Linked DNA regions of Drosophila melanogaster. The protein of the gene in region 1 interacts with the protein of each later gene in a pairwise test. Each region holds a gene or a part of one and is shown in the gene's direction. Other genes may lie near its edges.

Region 1 (6,138 bases):
ATCCGTATGTGGTACCCAATCCTTACGCTGTCCGTACGGCGGAGCAGCGATTTTGGCGGAGACCAGGGCTCCGATCTTTGGTGCTCCGCGGGCGACCAGGCGACGCTCGTCCTCCCGATCCCAGATCGCGTTCGTCGGCGTGGGCAGCAGGCTTGATAGCGACATAGCTTATCTGTTATTTGTGGCGAATCAATTCTTATGTGAAATCACTTTTCAATATGCAAGCCACAAAAACTATAATGGAAAAGTCGAAAAAAAAAACACGCACGCACACGGACACACACAAGCGTACGGGTGTGTAGGGTTGCCAGACTGCTAATAAGAAAATGCTATAGAGTATGGTCCCTTTTAGGGATGGATTGCATATATTGCGTTTTTCTTAAGACGTAAGAAAACCAAATTGGTAGAAATAACAAAGCGATAGCTTTTTCCAAATTTGAACGCGAATCGGTAGTGGATTGGTAATGGTCATCAAACATCATCAAAATTTGCAAAAAATGGTCAAAAAATTGAATTTGCATTTTTGAACACAGTTTGATTTGAAATTTTATTACGAGCTTAACGAGGTATGACATTCCATATTTGGACCATTATTTCGAATGTTCTTATCAAAATACTACAATATGGTTTATAAAAATCAGGGGCAATCAGAGAAAATTTGAATAATTTATTTTTATTACCTTAACAGAACTGTGCAATACTTAAAAATATAATTTATAGACATCCCCCTAATAATTAGATAGATATAAGTGACACTTGCCCGATCGATACTATCGCATCGCCCTAGCCGCTGGCAGTGCCATCGCTAGCAGTTCAGTCAACAATTTAAGTTTTTGTTTTTGTTGGCCAAAAACACAATACAATGTACACATTGATGCACGGCTTCTACAAATACATGACTCAGAAGGACGACTACTGCGTGGTAATCCTGGGCCTGGACAATGCTGGCAAAACGGTAGGCAGCTGAATCATCCAATGAAAGCCTCATGTCCAATCGGAAACTAACACCTGTGCCCACGTAGACTTACCTGGAGGCCGCCAAGACCACGTTTACGCGTAACTATAAGGGCCTCAATCCGAGCAAGATCACGACGACGGTGGGCCTCAACATCGGCACCATCGACGTGCAGGGCGTACGCCTCAACTTCTGGGATCTTGGTGGCCAGCAGGAGCTGCAATCTCTCTGGGATAAGTACTACCAGGAGTCGCATGGCGTCATCTACGTGATTGATTCCAACGACAGGGAGCGCATGGAAGAGTCCAAAGCGATATTTGGTAAGCGAAAACAGTCTTCGAACTAATCCCTTGAACAAAACTCGTTTTGATCTATTCTGATGATCTCTGGTAAAAGGAAAAAGGTTCACCTAAAATGTGTTATTCTCTTTCCCCACAGACAAGATGATCAAGAACGAACTGCTGTCCGGAGTGCCTTTGCTAATCCTGGCCAACAAACAGGATCTGCCGGATGTGATGGGCGTGCGGGAGATCAAGCCAGTTTTCCAGCAGGCGGGTGCTTTAATCGGGCGGCGAGATTGCCTCACCATTCCCGTATCCGCGCTGCACGGCGAGGGCGTGGACGAGGGCATTAAGTGGCTGGTGGAGGCCATCAAACGACATGCGGTGGTGCGGCCGCCGCGGGAAAACGATTAGAAGATCAAGCAGAAGACATCTGGGCCTGGTAGTCGGCCCTCCACTGGCTTTAATTAGACATGTACTTTTGTAAGTTAGGGGCTTAGGATAACGCTTATTTGTAATTAGCCAGACGAGATTGCGAGATACCAATTGTAAAGATGCGTTGTCATTATTTGCAAAGACCTTTCTTTTCGGTTAACTACTGCTGAGAAAATGAGGAAAACAATGTTAGAAAGCTGTGAGACTTCTGCATAGGACAACGAATTACAAATACTATTGTTAGAATAACAAAGAACGCAATGCTTATTAGCCAATTAAGTGCAAGAACTATAAATTCAGAAGTACTTGAAGATGTATTTGAAGAAGTACTTTGTTCTGTTAATAACCCAGATACATGGGTATTTGGATGCCAAAAATGTAATAAAACTGAATCCATTCGCAGCTGTTATGGTTAATCGTTAGCCACAAAGTGTGTGGGCGATTCGAGGTCCACCAAAATCGGGAGAGTCGCTTCTTTATCTAACAGCACTGCACTCGTAGTACACCTCGATATGGCGGTTGTCAATGGGGCTCCGCTTATCCGAACCGAACGACACCGAACCGCGGAAAGAAACAACCAGCAAACAGACGGGATTGTGGTGTTCTCACGGCGGGGGGAGCATTATTATTACCATTATCAGTCCGATAGATAAGTGCTGTGTGTGCCACCAAAAAGCAAAGGCGGAGGAAAATGAAAATGAACTAAAAACAACACCTGGTGAGTGGCACTGGAATCGTCAGTCTTCCGCAGGAGTTTCCACCGCTCGGACTGGAAATGATCGGCCGCCAGCAAGGGCTAGATAGCTAGACCTCGAGCCAGAGCTAGAGAAAAGAAGAGCGTTACCTGTTAATTATTAGTGTACATTAGATAAGGCCTATGTGAAGCACTCGCCGCTTATCGCTGCCATTCCCATACCCGAACGCGCTCCCGCTCCCATTCCATTCGGTTTAGTTCCGTGCTCCAGTGAGAAGCCACCATGTATCCGTATTACGAGCAGGACTGGAGCGTTCTGCCGCCGGAGAACAATCGCAGGTGAGATGAAATCCCGCCCGGTGCTCGTTCATACCCTTAAAGATTCGCCAGTCGATCTTTAGAAAATGAGACTTTTGAAAGTGTTTTTCAAAAATGACGTTATCGCAGTGTGACCGTCCATTGACCGCTCTGCATAGCGGTATTTTTTTTTTATTTGTGCTGTGGTGTGGCAAAAGAAAATCGTTGAATCACCCTGTGTAAATGCAATTTATTGTCCCCCTATTATCTCTTTTATTTTGGTAAAACTGCCCCTTCTCTACTGGCATTCCATGTGAGTTGTTGCGGTTCGAATGCAATGCCATGGAAATATAATTAAGTGCATCTTTTACTTTGATAAGGCAATCAAATTAACTGAACGAATATTAAACTCAAACTGTTACTTATCTCTCAGATAAACACAATTAATTTGTAATGATTTATGCCTCAGTCTTGATATTTTCCGTATAACTATTTGTTTGGTTGATAAATCATTGAATACCTACCCACTGTGCCATCAAATGCGCTAACGCCTATCAGCGCGAGGCGTTAATGCCTTTTGCGCACACTGCTTGTAAATATCGCGCTCTCGCTCGCACCCACTACCACTGTTGCGCTCATCATCAACATATTCTCGACGAAACATTTTTTTTTACTTGTTACGTTGATTTTGTGGCGTTTAAAATAGCGATTAACCAGCGCCAAGTTGGCCCAGCGAACATGTGCTAAAGCGTAAATGCAGTGCTAGAATAGGCATTTATTCAATTGCAGAATCATTCCAGTTAAAAGCGAAGGTGTGTGCGTGTACTTGCGACGACGGGCCGTGTGTGTTGAAATTTTTTTTTTAGTTTTTGTCGCGTTGTTAAATTTTATAGTTGAAAAAAGCTAACGTGTTTCCTGATTATTCATTAACAAAAAAAACGTAACGCCGCCAAGTGCGCGAATGCATCCAATTTGTTAAAACGGAAATGCCCGTTGAAAAGTGTGCCATAGATTTTCCTGCCCTTTTCTTGTTGGCCCAAAAGGCATGCATGAGTGTATATATGTGTGTGTGTGCGTGAGCAAGTGTGTGTAGGCCTTCCAGCGAATCGCATAAATTAGCAGGCGAAAAATCACATTGAAAACAAACGAGGAAAGCTCGCAAGAAAAAAACCCTACGTGTTAAATATATACTATAGGGTATATAGGAGTGACGTTATTTCATGACTTTTTAATGCAATCGATATGTATGTATGTATGTCAGTTATGCTATCGCTGGCAGCTGTTTTCGTTTTTTGCCCAGTTCACTTAATAAAATATTAAGTGGACATCAGTAAACAAGTTGGATTTTTCGGGCTTACTGCTTCTCCTTTTCCAATTGGAAACCCTTTGCGCGCGTATGAATGTCTCTATTAATGTGTGTGCGTGTGTGTGCATTAATCATTTAATCAATTTGCATTGCGCTCCAAACTAAAGTGAATAAAGCACAGTAATTTGTTGTTGCCTTGGCCAGAAAGAGAGATCAAACGTATTTGTTTGAGCCAACTCACACACACCCACACCCATGCACGCATCTGAGATGTCAGTTTCATAACAACAGCGATCTACTTTATGTCAGCGGTAATTGTACCTGCTTTTATTTAAACTATTCAGCTTATTTTTTCCAATTCCATTAGCTTGGAAAGAGAGCAAGCGAGAGAAGGATAGAGAGTAGGAGAGCAAGTGCAACAAAATAGCGGCCGGCTGTTATTCCCTGTGTGTGTGTGTGCGCGCGTGTGTGTGCGTTTGTGTGGGAGTGCAGGTGTGTGTGCGCGGAAGATCTGCAGAGGAAAAACCGTTATTTCGTTTCGCTAATTTGTGTTGTTGCCCCGCCGCAACAGCAACAAAAAGAAAACAGAAGAGCACATAAGCCGGCAAATAGTTAACAAAACCAGACGTAATAGAATATAATAATAATAACAAAAATATAAATAAAAATACGAACCAGTAAAAGAAGGAGCAAAAAAAAGGCTGCCACACAAGTGATTCAACGTTTCTCGTCGCCACAATGAACTCCGAGCATGGGTAGGATCCTAAACAGCAGTGCAAACATCCCTAGAATTATGCCCATATAAACCCATTTAACCTCTTCCTCCGGCAGATTTAATCCAGCCTTCAATATGGCCACCATACGGCAAGCATTCACAGAGGCGGTGGAGAGAGGTAAGTCCAAGACAGTGAACACCACTTGGTAGATTGCTCCAATAAGAAGATGATCGTGTGCTTGTGATCACCCAAAAGGTGGCTACAAGTACGCTGCACTCCTTATTCATTCAGATATATAGTTATAGTTCTATTAATGACCTGAAACGAAGGATACAGGCAGGGGTTAAGAGAGAAAGATCAGCGGCCAGACAGACAAAAACCCGATTAATTAACATATTCACATCCACTTCTCGCCCACAGTCAGAATGCCTACGCCCACACGCCTGCGCGACCTCATCCGACAGATTCGCGCCGCCAGAACCGCCGCCGAGGAGCGGGCGGTGGTCAACAAAGAGTGCGCCTACATACGGAGCACGTTCCGCGAGGAGGACTCCGTCTGGCGGTGAGTCATCTACACCCGGTTGCAATATACATATGTATATACTATATATATATATATATTCGCCCACAGCTGTCGCAACATTGCCAAGCTGCTGTACATACACATGCTCGGCTATCCGGCTCACTTTGGCCAACTGGAGTGCCTTAAGCTGACGGCCAGCACGCGGTTCACAGACAAGCGGATCGGCTACCTGGGCGCCATGCTGCTGCTGGATGAGCGGCAGGATGTCCACCTGCTTATCACCAACTGCTTGAAGAAGTAAGCTTTAGTGGGCGGTCTAATTTTGCACTTAATGCACTAACTTATAACACAATCTCAATTGCAGCGACTTGAACAGCTCGACGCAGTTCGTCGTGGGCCTAGCCCTATGCACTCTGGGTGCGATCGCCTCACCGGAGATGGCCCGAGATCTGGCCAGCGAGGTGGAGCGTCTGATGAAGTCCCCGAACACGTACATTCGCAAGAAGGCGACGCTGTGCGCCTTTCGCGTCATTCGCCGTGTGCCCGAGCTAATGGAGATCTTCTTGCCGGCCACGCGTTCCCTGCTCAGCGAGAAGAATCATGGTAAGCATACCTACAGTAAAATGAGTTTATCGACGATGATCAAACTAATTCGTAATATTATCTGCTACAGGAATTTTGATCACTGGCGTTACGCTGATCACGGAGATGTGCGAGAACAGTTCGGACACGCTGATGCATTTCAAGAAGGTAAGTTGACATGGTGCCGGCGGCGGCGGCGGAGTCATGTCCTCGGAATCAGTGGCCTTCTACTTCATCAACTGCCACTGCTGCTGCTCCAGCTGCATCTGGTTTTAATACTCCTCATTAATGTGGCGCTCGATAAAATGAAAGAAAGAAAAAAAAGGCAAACGCCCCCAAAAAGCGGGTT
Region 2 (5,856 bases), on another chromosome or scaffold:
TTGATATTACCACAAAGAAAAACAAAAACACACATTAAAAGTTATATTAGCTCTACGTCTAGTCTGTAAGCTCAAAAACGAAAACCCAACCAGCCCACCCCCCCCCCCCCCCGCCCACCCTACCCCCTTTTCCTGTTACCCAAAAACATAAACATTTTAGTTGAATTTTGTTTTCGTATGCGTACAGTAAGGAAGATGAACGGCTTTTTAAATTGTTTAAGTTTTAGTTAATTTTACTTTGCAGCCTTGGTAAAGAAAAATGTTAGCAAATATAATTATACATATTATGGCATATATAAAGAAAAGTTATAGTTATAAATTCTTTATAATATTTCTATATGAATTATGTTTAACGCAACTATTTTATTAATTTTAAATTAATTTTTAAAAAGCAATCACAACACGTTTTTAGAACAAAATACATGAATGAAAACAATATATATTTATATTAATATATATTTCAAATATATACACGCAATTGTATTTCTCTTTTGGTTTTATTTCTTTCAACCCATCCATAAAACCACCTCATCCACAGTCTATTCCCAACATAATTCATAAATTCATAATGGGTGCCTCAAAACTCTCACACAGACGCAACAACTAATAGTGCATTAGTAGACTTAAACGAGTTAAAAATCAATCGAAATAGACTTGCCCTCGAAATAGTTATATAAGCTGTACATATAGCCGCCAGTATACAAGAAATATATTTTTAAATGCCAAAAAGTGAGCGCTGTAAACTACTTTAAGCCAACTTCAATCAGCAGAATTTGAAAATGAGTGGGGATTGGGATAGGATGGTACGATGGTAGGATGGTAGGATTCTGGAATACATTCATATATTGACCGAGTTGAGCAGCCAGCATTTTCTTGTTGACTTTTATTTTGGCATGTACGAAATCGAAACTACGAAAATCAAAGCAAAAATGTAACGAAAAACAAAACGGAAAGCAAAACAAAGTAAGAAAGAATATTAAATTAATATTAGTAATGGTTCTGGGGAAACAAGGCATTCGCTCGCATTCGACAAATGAAACCGAAAACAAACATTTAAATTGTAGACAAATTTTAAGTTATCACTAAAATGACGAGTGCCGAATGCCGATGGAGAATTTGCGCAACTTTATTGTGCAGTGCAACTACATAAGTGTAATTATTATAAATTGGTACACATGCATACATATGTATTGTTAATTATTAAAACGATGTAAATAATACAATTACGTAGGCGGGAAGACACGGACACAAACATGCATATAATTAAAGTAAGCATAATTACATGCCTAACTATAAATAACTATATATTGGTATATATAAAGATATATAATATATATATATTTTTATATATATACACGATGAATTAAACTAAACAACGTAGAAATCATAGTTAAATTTTTTCGAAGTGACAAGATTAACGTGCAGCAATAAGCAACCGACAAGAACAACAACAACAACCACAACAACAACAAAAACAAACGAAACGCGCCTAGTAATAGTTAATAATTCTATTTTGTTAAGCGTTATTGTAGTGAAACGAAACAAAAGAAAACCAAACAAAAACAAAAACAAAACCGAACCGACAGATCGAACAGCAAAACCAACAGAATTAAGTTTTAAGCTGGACTTTGGAACGTGGAAAGCGAGTAGAAAACCAAAATGAATGCAAAACATGTTGTTCATTGACAAAGCTAAAAGTAAATATATATTTTGTACAAATATAATTAAATTCAGCCGCAGCTAAAACCAAGTACACTTATTAAAGTTTAAGCAACAACAGAACAACAACCAATTTAATATGCAATTACCGTAACAGTAGTTGATAAATCGAACGAATAAAACATCAAAAATTGTAACATTTACATAACTGCCTTTTGTGTCTTGCTTTTTTTTAACACTATGGATGGTTGTAATAACGGAAGGAGATGCTTTAAAAATTCAGTGTGACCAGGCAAGGTTATAAATTCATGTCCATCTGTTTCAAACAAAAGCTGGAAATTCTTAACTCCTGTTCCTTAGGGGAACACTTGAAGCCGAATGCAATTAAAACGATTTCTTATCTTGATAATGCTCATGACGAAAGGAAGTTTCGATCAATACGAGAAAAACTTTTTGCATGATTAATCGATCAGTGCTGGTAAGTCGCCAAAGTAGTCTGTCAGTGTTAGCAACTCAACGTGTTACTTGCTGTGCTTTCGACAGCGTGGTGTCGATTCTTCGAATTCATCGTTTACAACTTCATCATAAGGAATGCAAAATCAAAGCGATTTTGTGGGTGAGATCCCCAGGTACACTCGCAACAAGAGAAGGCAATATCAGCGCCAACGACGTAAGGCACATCCGCAAATTCCAGGGGTATTAACAGGAGGACCAGAGCCAGAGAAAGTCAACAATTGTCAGAGAAAGAGACCCATCAAGGGCCACGTGTATGACTCCACCAGCGAGGAGGATATGACCATCAAACGTAAGCATACAGACGCCTCGTGGTACAAGGTTCAAGTTAAATGCGAGAATGTGTCCCCGAACATCGAGGAGAAGCACGGCAACAAGATCAAGCAGCCTTCCTTAGCGTGGAACAACAACAGGAAGCCCAATAAAGGGGATCTACCACAACCACCGCTATCTTGGCTTTATCCCAACCAATCTAGGGGCTTTTATGACAACCAAAGCTGGAACTCTGGCGGCTCACGTCAGAATCAGTCGCAGTGGGAAGCACCAGTAAGCTGAAAATCAATTATTCATTTAAATAATTAAATTAACCGAATTTTATATGCACATCCGCAGAGGCAAGAACATTCATCTTCAGCTCAAGGCCGTAGTGCCAGGAACCCATATCTGAACCCTATTCAGGAATCCTGCAATGGGCGTTATATTATTGAACATCAATGGAACACGACCATTATCCATCACAAGTAAGGTAAGGCAACAAGAATGAATTACATAAAAACCTATTCGCTAAAGAAGATTTAACACAGCCACTTATTGTACACAAATCTATAGTATGTCATTTATAACTACATCGTGGGGATTTTCCCGATTTCCCAAACACAGGACATTTTCATGAAAGGGCCTTACATGTCTGATCAGTTAGGTAAGGGTTAAAAGCGCAACATTTTGAGATGCATTGGGCCCCAACACCTATGCAAAGTGAGTGCATGCATGTGGGTTGCTGTTATTGTGATGGTGTGCAAGCAGCAACAAAACAAACCGCATATAAATAAGGAGAGCGAGGTATTGTTGCATACTTGTAGGCAGCGGGATGGGGGTGGAGCTGTTCTGTTCCATCCGCTCGCAAAGTTCAATGGTCTTTTGACACAAATGATGATGATGTCAAGTTGAGCTCGTCCTACGCTCCTGCCTTGCTCTCTCTCTCTCTGATGCTCTTTCTAGCTTGCGCTCTTGGGTTTAAAGCCCCTCTGGCACCTTCCCTTCAGTCAGCAGCCGTTGTTGTTGTTGCTTAAGTGTTTGTTTGGGTGCCGTGCTGGCTCTCTCAGCTCCAACAACAGCAATGCGGCCGGCTTACGAGCCCCGGCTCTCTTCGCCTCTTTTGGAGCTCGCTCTTTGCCGAACGGAGAACCTACCGCAATTCGTTTCGTGTTCACGGCTGCATTTCCTTGTTTATGTTTTGCGAAGCCAAATGTAGGGTACATCGGTTAAGTGCCGAGCCAGGAGAAAGAGAGAGCGAGCGAACGAGTACCGTTATGTTGCCGGAGCTGTTGCAGGCTGCGCAACTTGCGGCTGCAGCTTTTTATTATTTGCCTTCTTCTTCGCGACCGTTACTTCTCGCATGGTACAATGGTGCAACTGTGCCCAAGCTGTATATTGAAAATAAAACAGCACTTCTGCATCTCACTGATGTGCAATGGCATTTAAGCTTATCCTGAAACGTGTCAGGTGCATTTACTTATTTCTATACATTTACAAATTGTTGCATAGGTTGTCTTTTGAGTTTAGTTGGGACCGAAATCCATTATTTCAAATAAAATAGAACAACATTTTGGATATAACAATACATATTTAGCATATGTCAGGTCAGTCTAATATTATTATCTATATTTGCAACACAAGAAAGTAGAAGGGTTAAAGTTCGCGCTCAATGTTTGAATTTGTCCCACTGTGCATGCGAGAGCAAAACTACGCAGTTATGCTGTGCATTCGCCACCGCCCCCCTCCCGCCCTCTGCAGGGCCGTGCTCAACTGTACGCCAATTGGAGGAGAGGAGGAGCTCTGCCGCTGGGGCCGCGGACTGCGGCGCGGCAGCGCTGTCACGGGTCCTGGCTGCAGTTATCCTGGCGGCAATCGAACACTTTAATCATTTAGTTCTTGCACTCTCCGGCAGCAAGTTGTGTTTTTTGATTCTCGTCGTATTGTCGTCGTTTCTGAATTGTTGTATATCGGTATCAAAATACACACATCTTGCATACTCACGCAACTACGCCCACATACACATATACATGTACGTGTGTCCAATTGCACGTAGTGTGGAATCCGAATCAGTATCGAAATCAGTTCGAAAACCCTTAGTGTGTGCGTGCTCAATTCAGTTTTCAAATTGAAACTACATCATTTGCAACGAAGAACATTTTCCAGTCCCAGTTCCAGAACCATTTTCTTTCGAGTCGAGTTGGGAAAATCGGTGTTGTATGCTTTGCGGCGCTGGCGAATAAATGTAAGCGAACAGAGAAGAATGCTACGGATATGTAGTTACAGTTACAGTTACACCATTTTATTTGCAAAAGTGCCCACACCCAAAGTCGATTTTTCGCCTGCATTCGTATGTGTGCGAATAGTAAAACGGAGCTCAATGGGGCGGCTTGCAGTCGGCGAAATCTCAATTTCTCTACACTCTGATATATATTTGCCGCCTACACACACACACAAGCACACAGAAGTCCATGCAGCTGCGTTTCGTGCAGCGCCGGCATCGCAGTTTTCATTTCGCTGCCTGCAGCCGCCATTTAACCTAAAAAACGCCGCACAGGAGCGGTTTCTTCAGAGGGAGTCGATCCCCAAAAATAATGATTTATTGACCTGTTTTCCATATAAAAGTTTCCTTAAAGCTAGTTCGTACAAATGTGGCACAAAGTTCCCTTGATTAGATGTAGATTTTCAAATGGTAGAAGTTCGAGAACTTGTTACAAGACTTGAAATTTTCTAGTGCAATTATCGGATTTATTTATTTTAAAAGAAATTCTTTAATTTCCGTAGTAGGATTTCTGAGAGATTATTGGAGCCCCTGATCTCGGAGGGACCCCTTCGAGACGGCCCTGCTTAGGCAGCGCAGTTGCCGTCGACGACGACGCCAGCTTGCAGTTAAGCTCGCTCTCTGGCTCCCATTCTCTCTCTGTGGCGCTCAATAGCCATTGCATATCTTGTGGCGCGCTCAGCTGACTGCTGCGCTTTCGCTGCAGCCTGCGCTCTCACTGTCTCTCCCGCTCTATCTCTCCGCCCATATATCCTGTTTATTTTTGCCGCACCCAAATCAAATGCATACGGCCTCAGCCGCCGTCCTTATAAGTTCCTCTACTTTGCTGACCCGTTACTTGTCCAGAACTCCTTCGCTCGCTCTCTCTCTCTGTCTCTCCTTTCATCCGCTGCCTTTGCCTTTGCCAAGGTGTGTCACTTTTTTGTTTTGTTCCTGCCCTTTGAACACTTCTTCCCCATTCTTCCAGTATTCGTAAGTGTGAGTGCGTGTGTGTGTGTGTGTCTGCATAGGTATGTGCCATCAAATCCATCAATTAGCCGGAAACAATTTCCAACTATTTATGAATGAAAATTAATGGTTGCGCCCCCTTATTTTGGGGGCGTGAATCGAAAGAGGAGGAAAGAGGAAGCTTCCTTCGGTTGACTGAAAAC
Region 3 (4,865 bases), on another chromosome or scaffold:
AATTAAGCAAAAAACCCTTTATTTTTAGCTTTAAAGTCAAAAATTCAACTTATTTCACAGTGTGTAAACAGTTTCTTGACAAACTGTATGTATTTTATTTTATAGGGTAACCCGTCAAATGCTTGATAAAGTATACCTCTATAAATGAAAAGAAAAAAGAAACCAGATTCGTAAGTAAATGAAATGTTTCTGAAAATATTACAAATCTAATATAAACTAAAATCTTGTTTCTGTTACATTGAATAAATGCTTTTTTCTCGAAGACCTGTTCATAACAACCGGTGCAAGCACACCTGCGCAGCTGTGCGTGGCGGTTCTCCACAGAAGGTTCTTCAAGAAGCTCTGGACTAGTGTAGTCCGGAACTGTGCAGAAACTAGAACTATGCCATCAAACCCACCCAAAGAAGCATCAAATCGGGAACCAAAACAAACCGTTGGCAGCAGCAGCGTCGGTGGCAGAAGGAAGGCAGCGGACAGCAGCTTCCCAGCGCCAGCAGAGACGTTGACGTGACGGTGGCTGTGACGTCGCCGACTCCCGCTGCCCGCTGCCAGGAGACGGAAACCTGTGGCATTGCTGCTGGCTCCACTTGACTGCAACTCCAGCTTTCCAGCCACCTACTTGCATAATCGAAAGCGGATGAGGTGCAGCGATTTGGCCGAAAATTTAAGGTTCGATCAACGGCCGTCGAGGGGGTGGGGTGAACGGTACATTTTGTTGGTATACTCATGAAAACGAAACGAAAGCTGCCTGGTCGGTCTCCGGTATGTACAGTGGGACTCTGAAGTGTTGACACAGCTGTTCTAATTTGTGCTTATCTATTGACCTTTCCAAAGCCCTATATTTTAATTTTCCGAATTCTCATCCTATTCAATATTAAAATAAAATCCATAGTTTCGTCTAAAGAACTGAGCAACTTATTTATTTTACTAATAAATACGTATTTATAACCCGTGCCAAACTGTTTTCTGCCACTGTATGCTGTATGCATGTATACGTGTGTGAGCAGCGCACATCGCAGTCGCAGTGTACGAAAATAAACGCTGGCGCAAGCAGAATGGCTGCGGAGCGAGCGAGACAACTACTGCGACGCGACGGCAAAGTACAGCAACTTCAAAAATATCGACTGAGCACAGTCTGCACACCGACAGAGCAAGCAGGGCCGCAGTCCGAGCGCCCGAAAGGGGCGCTCATTTTAGAGCAGATCTTTACAGATAGAAATTAACCTAGGTTTAATTACTAATGAACTGTATTCTAAATGCAACCATATAAATGCAGTAAAAAAAGTTCGCATAAAATGCAATTTATGAGCGGTGCAGCCCGCGCCCACCCTCACACGTATAGATCCCCCCCTGCCATTTCCTAACCATCAGCCAGCTACTGCGCCGCGTCGCCGTTCACTTTTGCGTCGTTTTCTGTCGTCGTCGTCGACTGACTTGTCCCGCCCCTTCGACCTGCGCCCGCACAGAATTAATCAATTGGCTGGGGCTGGTTGGGGCACGGACCGAAGACGGCTGACAGAAAGCAGAAAACCCGTAGCCAAAACCAGCCGAATTTCACTTACCAGGCACACCGAGCGTTTCGGCGATTTGTTTCCAGGTCTGGGCCTTGCGCACAAAGTGCTTGTAATTGTAGTGCGACCTGTCGTATATCACTGGGTTCAGCTTGACAGCCTCGATGAGATTGAGATCAAACTGCTGCTCAAGATTGGCATCCAGCTTGTCCATCTCAATGGCCGCCGTGAGGGTATGCACTGAGGGGACAAGACGGGGAAACAAGAGTTACAAATTTAGCGGGGACGAGACGGACGTGGACTGGGTCGGATCCCAGTTCCAAACTGGGCACACGGGCTCCCGCAGCCGACGACACTCACTTTGCTTCTTACGTTTGCTAATTGTTGTTAAGTATTTGGCGCGAACGCACGCTCTGTTTGTTTTTATTTTGATTGGTTTCTTCTACGAGGAAGGAACGTCGACGTTTTAATTTTATTTCTCAGTCGCGTCTCTGCCAACGGTAACGGTACGTCCCAGCTCAGTCGCGTCTCTGCCAATTAGGGGTGGGAAAACGCCGATGAAGGGGTCATCAGCGCATCGATAATTTTAAAACTCTCATACAATAACAATATGTTATGGCGACTATCGATGTTTCTGATATATCACAACAGCTGCGTAAAGCGTCAAAAGGCTTAAAGTTTTACCATGTTAAGATTTAAGATGTTAAGATCATAATTCGTTCCGAGTTTAGCTCGTTTAAAGAAGGAAGCGTACGACTATCGATAGACGGAGGGCCACCCTTATTTTAGAGGCGCCACCTTTAGGAAATGTGCGGCACCTTTGGCCAGTTGGTATATTGTAACGGTTCGTCTGCGGTCACACTGTTTCTGATTAGACCAAATGAAACAAATGGCGGCACAAAAAGCCTGGACGGATGAGGAGCGTCTGGAGCTGGCGGCCCAGCTGGACGCGGAACTGGATGCGTTTATCGATGGCCTGGAGAAGAAACGTTACGAGGAGGGCTGGCCGGAGGACCGCTGGCAGGAGGAGATGGACAAGCACCCGTTCTTCATGAAACGTGCTCCTCAGCCAGGGGATGACGTGCATCCGATGTTCGAGGGTCTGCAGAAGCTCAAGTACGATCCGGAGGAGAACACGCGCGACGAGCTGGCGCTCAACTACAAGGAGGATGGCAACTTTTACATGAAGCACAAGAAGTTCCGCATGGCAATCTACAGCTTTACCGAGGGCATCAAGACCAAGACGGACAATCCCGACGTGCTAGCCGTTCTCTACAACAACCGCTCGGCGGCTCACTTCTTCATCAAGAACTACAGATCCTCGCTGAGCGACGCCCAGCGAGCTCTGTTCTACAAGCCAGACTACACAAAGGCCCGCTGGCGGTCGGCACAGTGTGCGTACGAGCTGGAGAGGTTCGATCTGTGCACCCAGATGTGCGAGGAGCTGCTCGAGGTGGACGTCGACAACGAGGTGGCCATCGCGCTGCTGCACAAGAACAAGATGAAGAAGGTTAGAATACGTGATCCAACTGGATAGGAACCCACATTAAACAAGTTATTTCCGTAGCTCGAGATAGAACGCAATCAGCGCAAGGAAGCTGCCGAGGCAAAGCGACGGCTTACACGCTTCCACAGACTCCGCGACGCCATCGAGCAGCGCGCCATTAAGTTTGACGATCAAAAAGTTGGCAAAAAGGACGTCCTCAGTGAGGAGCTCCTTTATCCAAAGTTTCTGCCTTTGGAGGACCATCCGGTGCACCTAGACGAGGACGGCAGCACTCTGATCTGGCCGGCTGCGTTCTCCTACCCCGAGTTCCTGTACAGCGACTTTTATCAGCAGCTGCCGGAGACCACCACCATGCGGGATTGCCTGGCGACGCTGCTCACCGAAAAGCTGCCATACGACAAGGCACACAACTACCGCCTGGGTAACGTGCACGTTTACTACGAGAACCGCAAGGTGGGCTGTGTCCACAAGGTGGACGAGGAGAAGCAGCTGGCCGAGATAATCGCCGAAAAGGGGTTTTTCGTTTCCGGTGGCGCTCTGCTCTTCTATGTGGTGCACAAGGATTCGCGAGTGGAACAGGAGTTTATAAACGAACGGCGACGACCCATGGTTTACAGTTAAGACAGTGAGCAAATAAAGTGATTCCTTCTTGAAAACAAACAAACACCTTTTCATTTGCTTGTAAAGTTTACTTCATTTTTGTGGCATATTTTATTTGTAAGCTTATGGTTTAGTCACGGTACAGTTCAGCATTGGTTATGCTATCTTGAAGCATTTTATTGTAAGTTTAACTAATCTCTGATATGTTATGCGAAGCCGAAAAGCGTAGTTCAGGCTACGCCGCCAAAAAATATCTGATGCGGCGTAAGCCCATTTTGGTAGACGATTAATCATCTGTAGAATTGAAAATTGTTTAGCTAAATTTAGTTTTTCTTTAACAACAAGGCGCCTAAATGAGTCAACAATGTGGTTTTTGGTTTAATACGTATAAAAGCGTTTTTGTAAATTTTCATAATTGAGCATATTCTTAGACATTCATCGTTGGTTCACAACAGTAGTAATACTAGGGGACCCCCCAAGTGGATCCGGATATGGTTCGTTAAAATACATTTGACAAAGCAGGATGACCATACATATAAGGCTTAATACTAAGTGCATCGTGGGAAAGCGTATTATATACTCGGATAACATAATAATCAACTTGTCGAACTAATCAGATCACATTCACAAGAAACTACAACATAAATAGCGAAATGGTTAAAAAGCAGTTTGTGTCCACAGCGAAGTGTTAAACATGGTTACGGAAAACGGAGAATCCATTTTAGTGCTGCGGCGAAGGTGGATTTCTCTGGAGGACACTATTGAGTCTCATCTTCAGCGGCGAAAAGTCAATTTTCTTGAAGCGTGGTAGGGAGGCGAACTTTTTCATGGTGCCTCCCTCGGGCTGCAACTCATTGGACGTGGCCACAGACTGAATCATGGGTTCCAGACGCGCTGGTGCGGGCAACGCCTTGCTGGGCGAATGCCCGATTTTGGCCAGCGTCGCATACTTTTGCAAAAGACGACTAGCCTTTTCCGCCGCTTGAAAGCGATCCTCGTACTCCTTCTCCAGATTTGGCTGTACAAAGCATTCGTTCGCTACGGGAAGAGCAGATGCTTTCGCCTTGCAGGAATCCTCAGATGCTTGGCTATCATCAAACTTAAAGTCAATGTTCTTCAAAACGGTCAAGTGCAGCAGTTCGTCATCCACGCCTTCATTGTTATTGTTATTGTTGCTTTGGTGGGTATTGTTGCTATTGGTGCTGTTCGGACGCTTTACCGGATGGGTGACTGCATAAACACTGTCA

What was found. Proteins that work in one complex are often made in the same cells at the same time.
Region 2: the proteins of AP-1gamma (region 1) and Rbp9 interact in a two-hybrid assay, tested with the Drosophila melanogaster proteins (one large-scale study listed by BioGRID).
Region 3: the proteins of AP-1gamma (region 1) and Dpit47 interact in a two-hybrid assay, tested with the Drosophila melanogaster proteins (one large-scale study listed by BioGRID).

Annotation. Positions count from the first base shown.
Region 1 is NC_004354.4:9,106,283-9,112,420, forward strand, and holds the start of AP-1gamma (adaptor protein complex 1, gamma subunit), read left to right. Parts: upstream 1-2,408; 5' UTR 2,409-2,648; coding exon 2,649-2,704; intron 2,705-3,267; exon of another isoform or gene 3,268-3,705; intron 3,706-4,335; exon of another isoform or gene 4,336-4,706; coding exon of another isoform or gene 4,707-4,723; intron 4,724-4,799; coding exon 4,800-4,861; intron 4,862-5,104; coding exon 5,105-5,246; intron 5,247-5,315; coding exon 5,316-5,504; intron 5,505-5,571; coding exon 5,572-5,810; intron 5,811-5,880; coding exon 5,881-5,957; intron 5,958-6,138. Other genes in the region: Bx42, read right to left, coding at 1-165; Arfrp1 (ADP-ribosylation factor related protein 1), read left to right, coding at 863-955, 1,023-1,275, 1,394-1,650.
Region 2 is NT_033779.5:2,952,596-2,958,451, forward strand, and holds the start of Rbp9 (RNA-binding protein 9), read left to right. Parts: upstream 1-2,166; 5' UTR 2,167-2,718; intron 2,719-2,784; 5' UTR 2,785-2,912; intron 2,913-4,315; exon of another isoform or gene 4,316-4,669; intron 4,670-5,856.
Region 3 is NT_033778.4:6,659,455-6,664,319, reverse strand, and holds Dpit47 (DNA polymerase interacting tpr containing protein of 47kD), read left to right. Parts: upstream 1-2,201; 5' UTR 2,202-2,391; coding exon 2,392-3,021; intron 3,022-3,078; coding exon 3,079-3,639; 3' UTR 3,640-3,675; downstream 3,676-4,865. Other genes in the region: Adf1 (Adh transcription factor 1), read right to left, coding at 1,563-1,751, 1,872-1,872; sced (scrambled), read right to left, coding at 4,340-4,865. UniProt on the Drosophila melanogaster protein: May act as a co-chaperone for HSP83.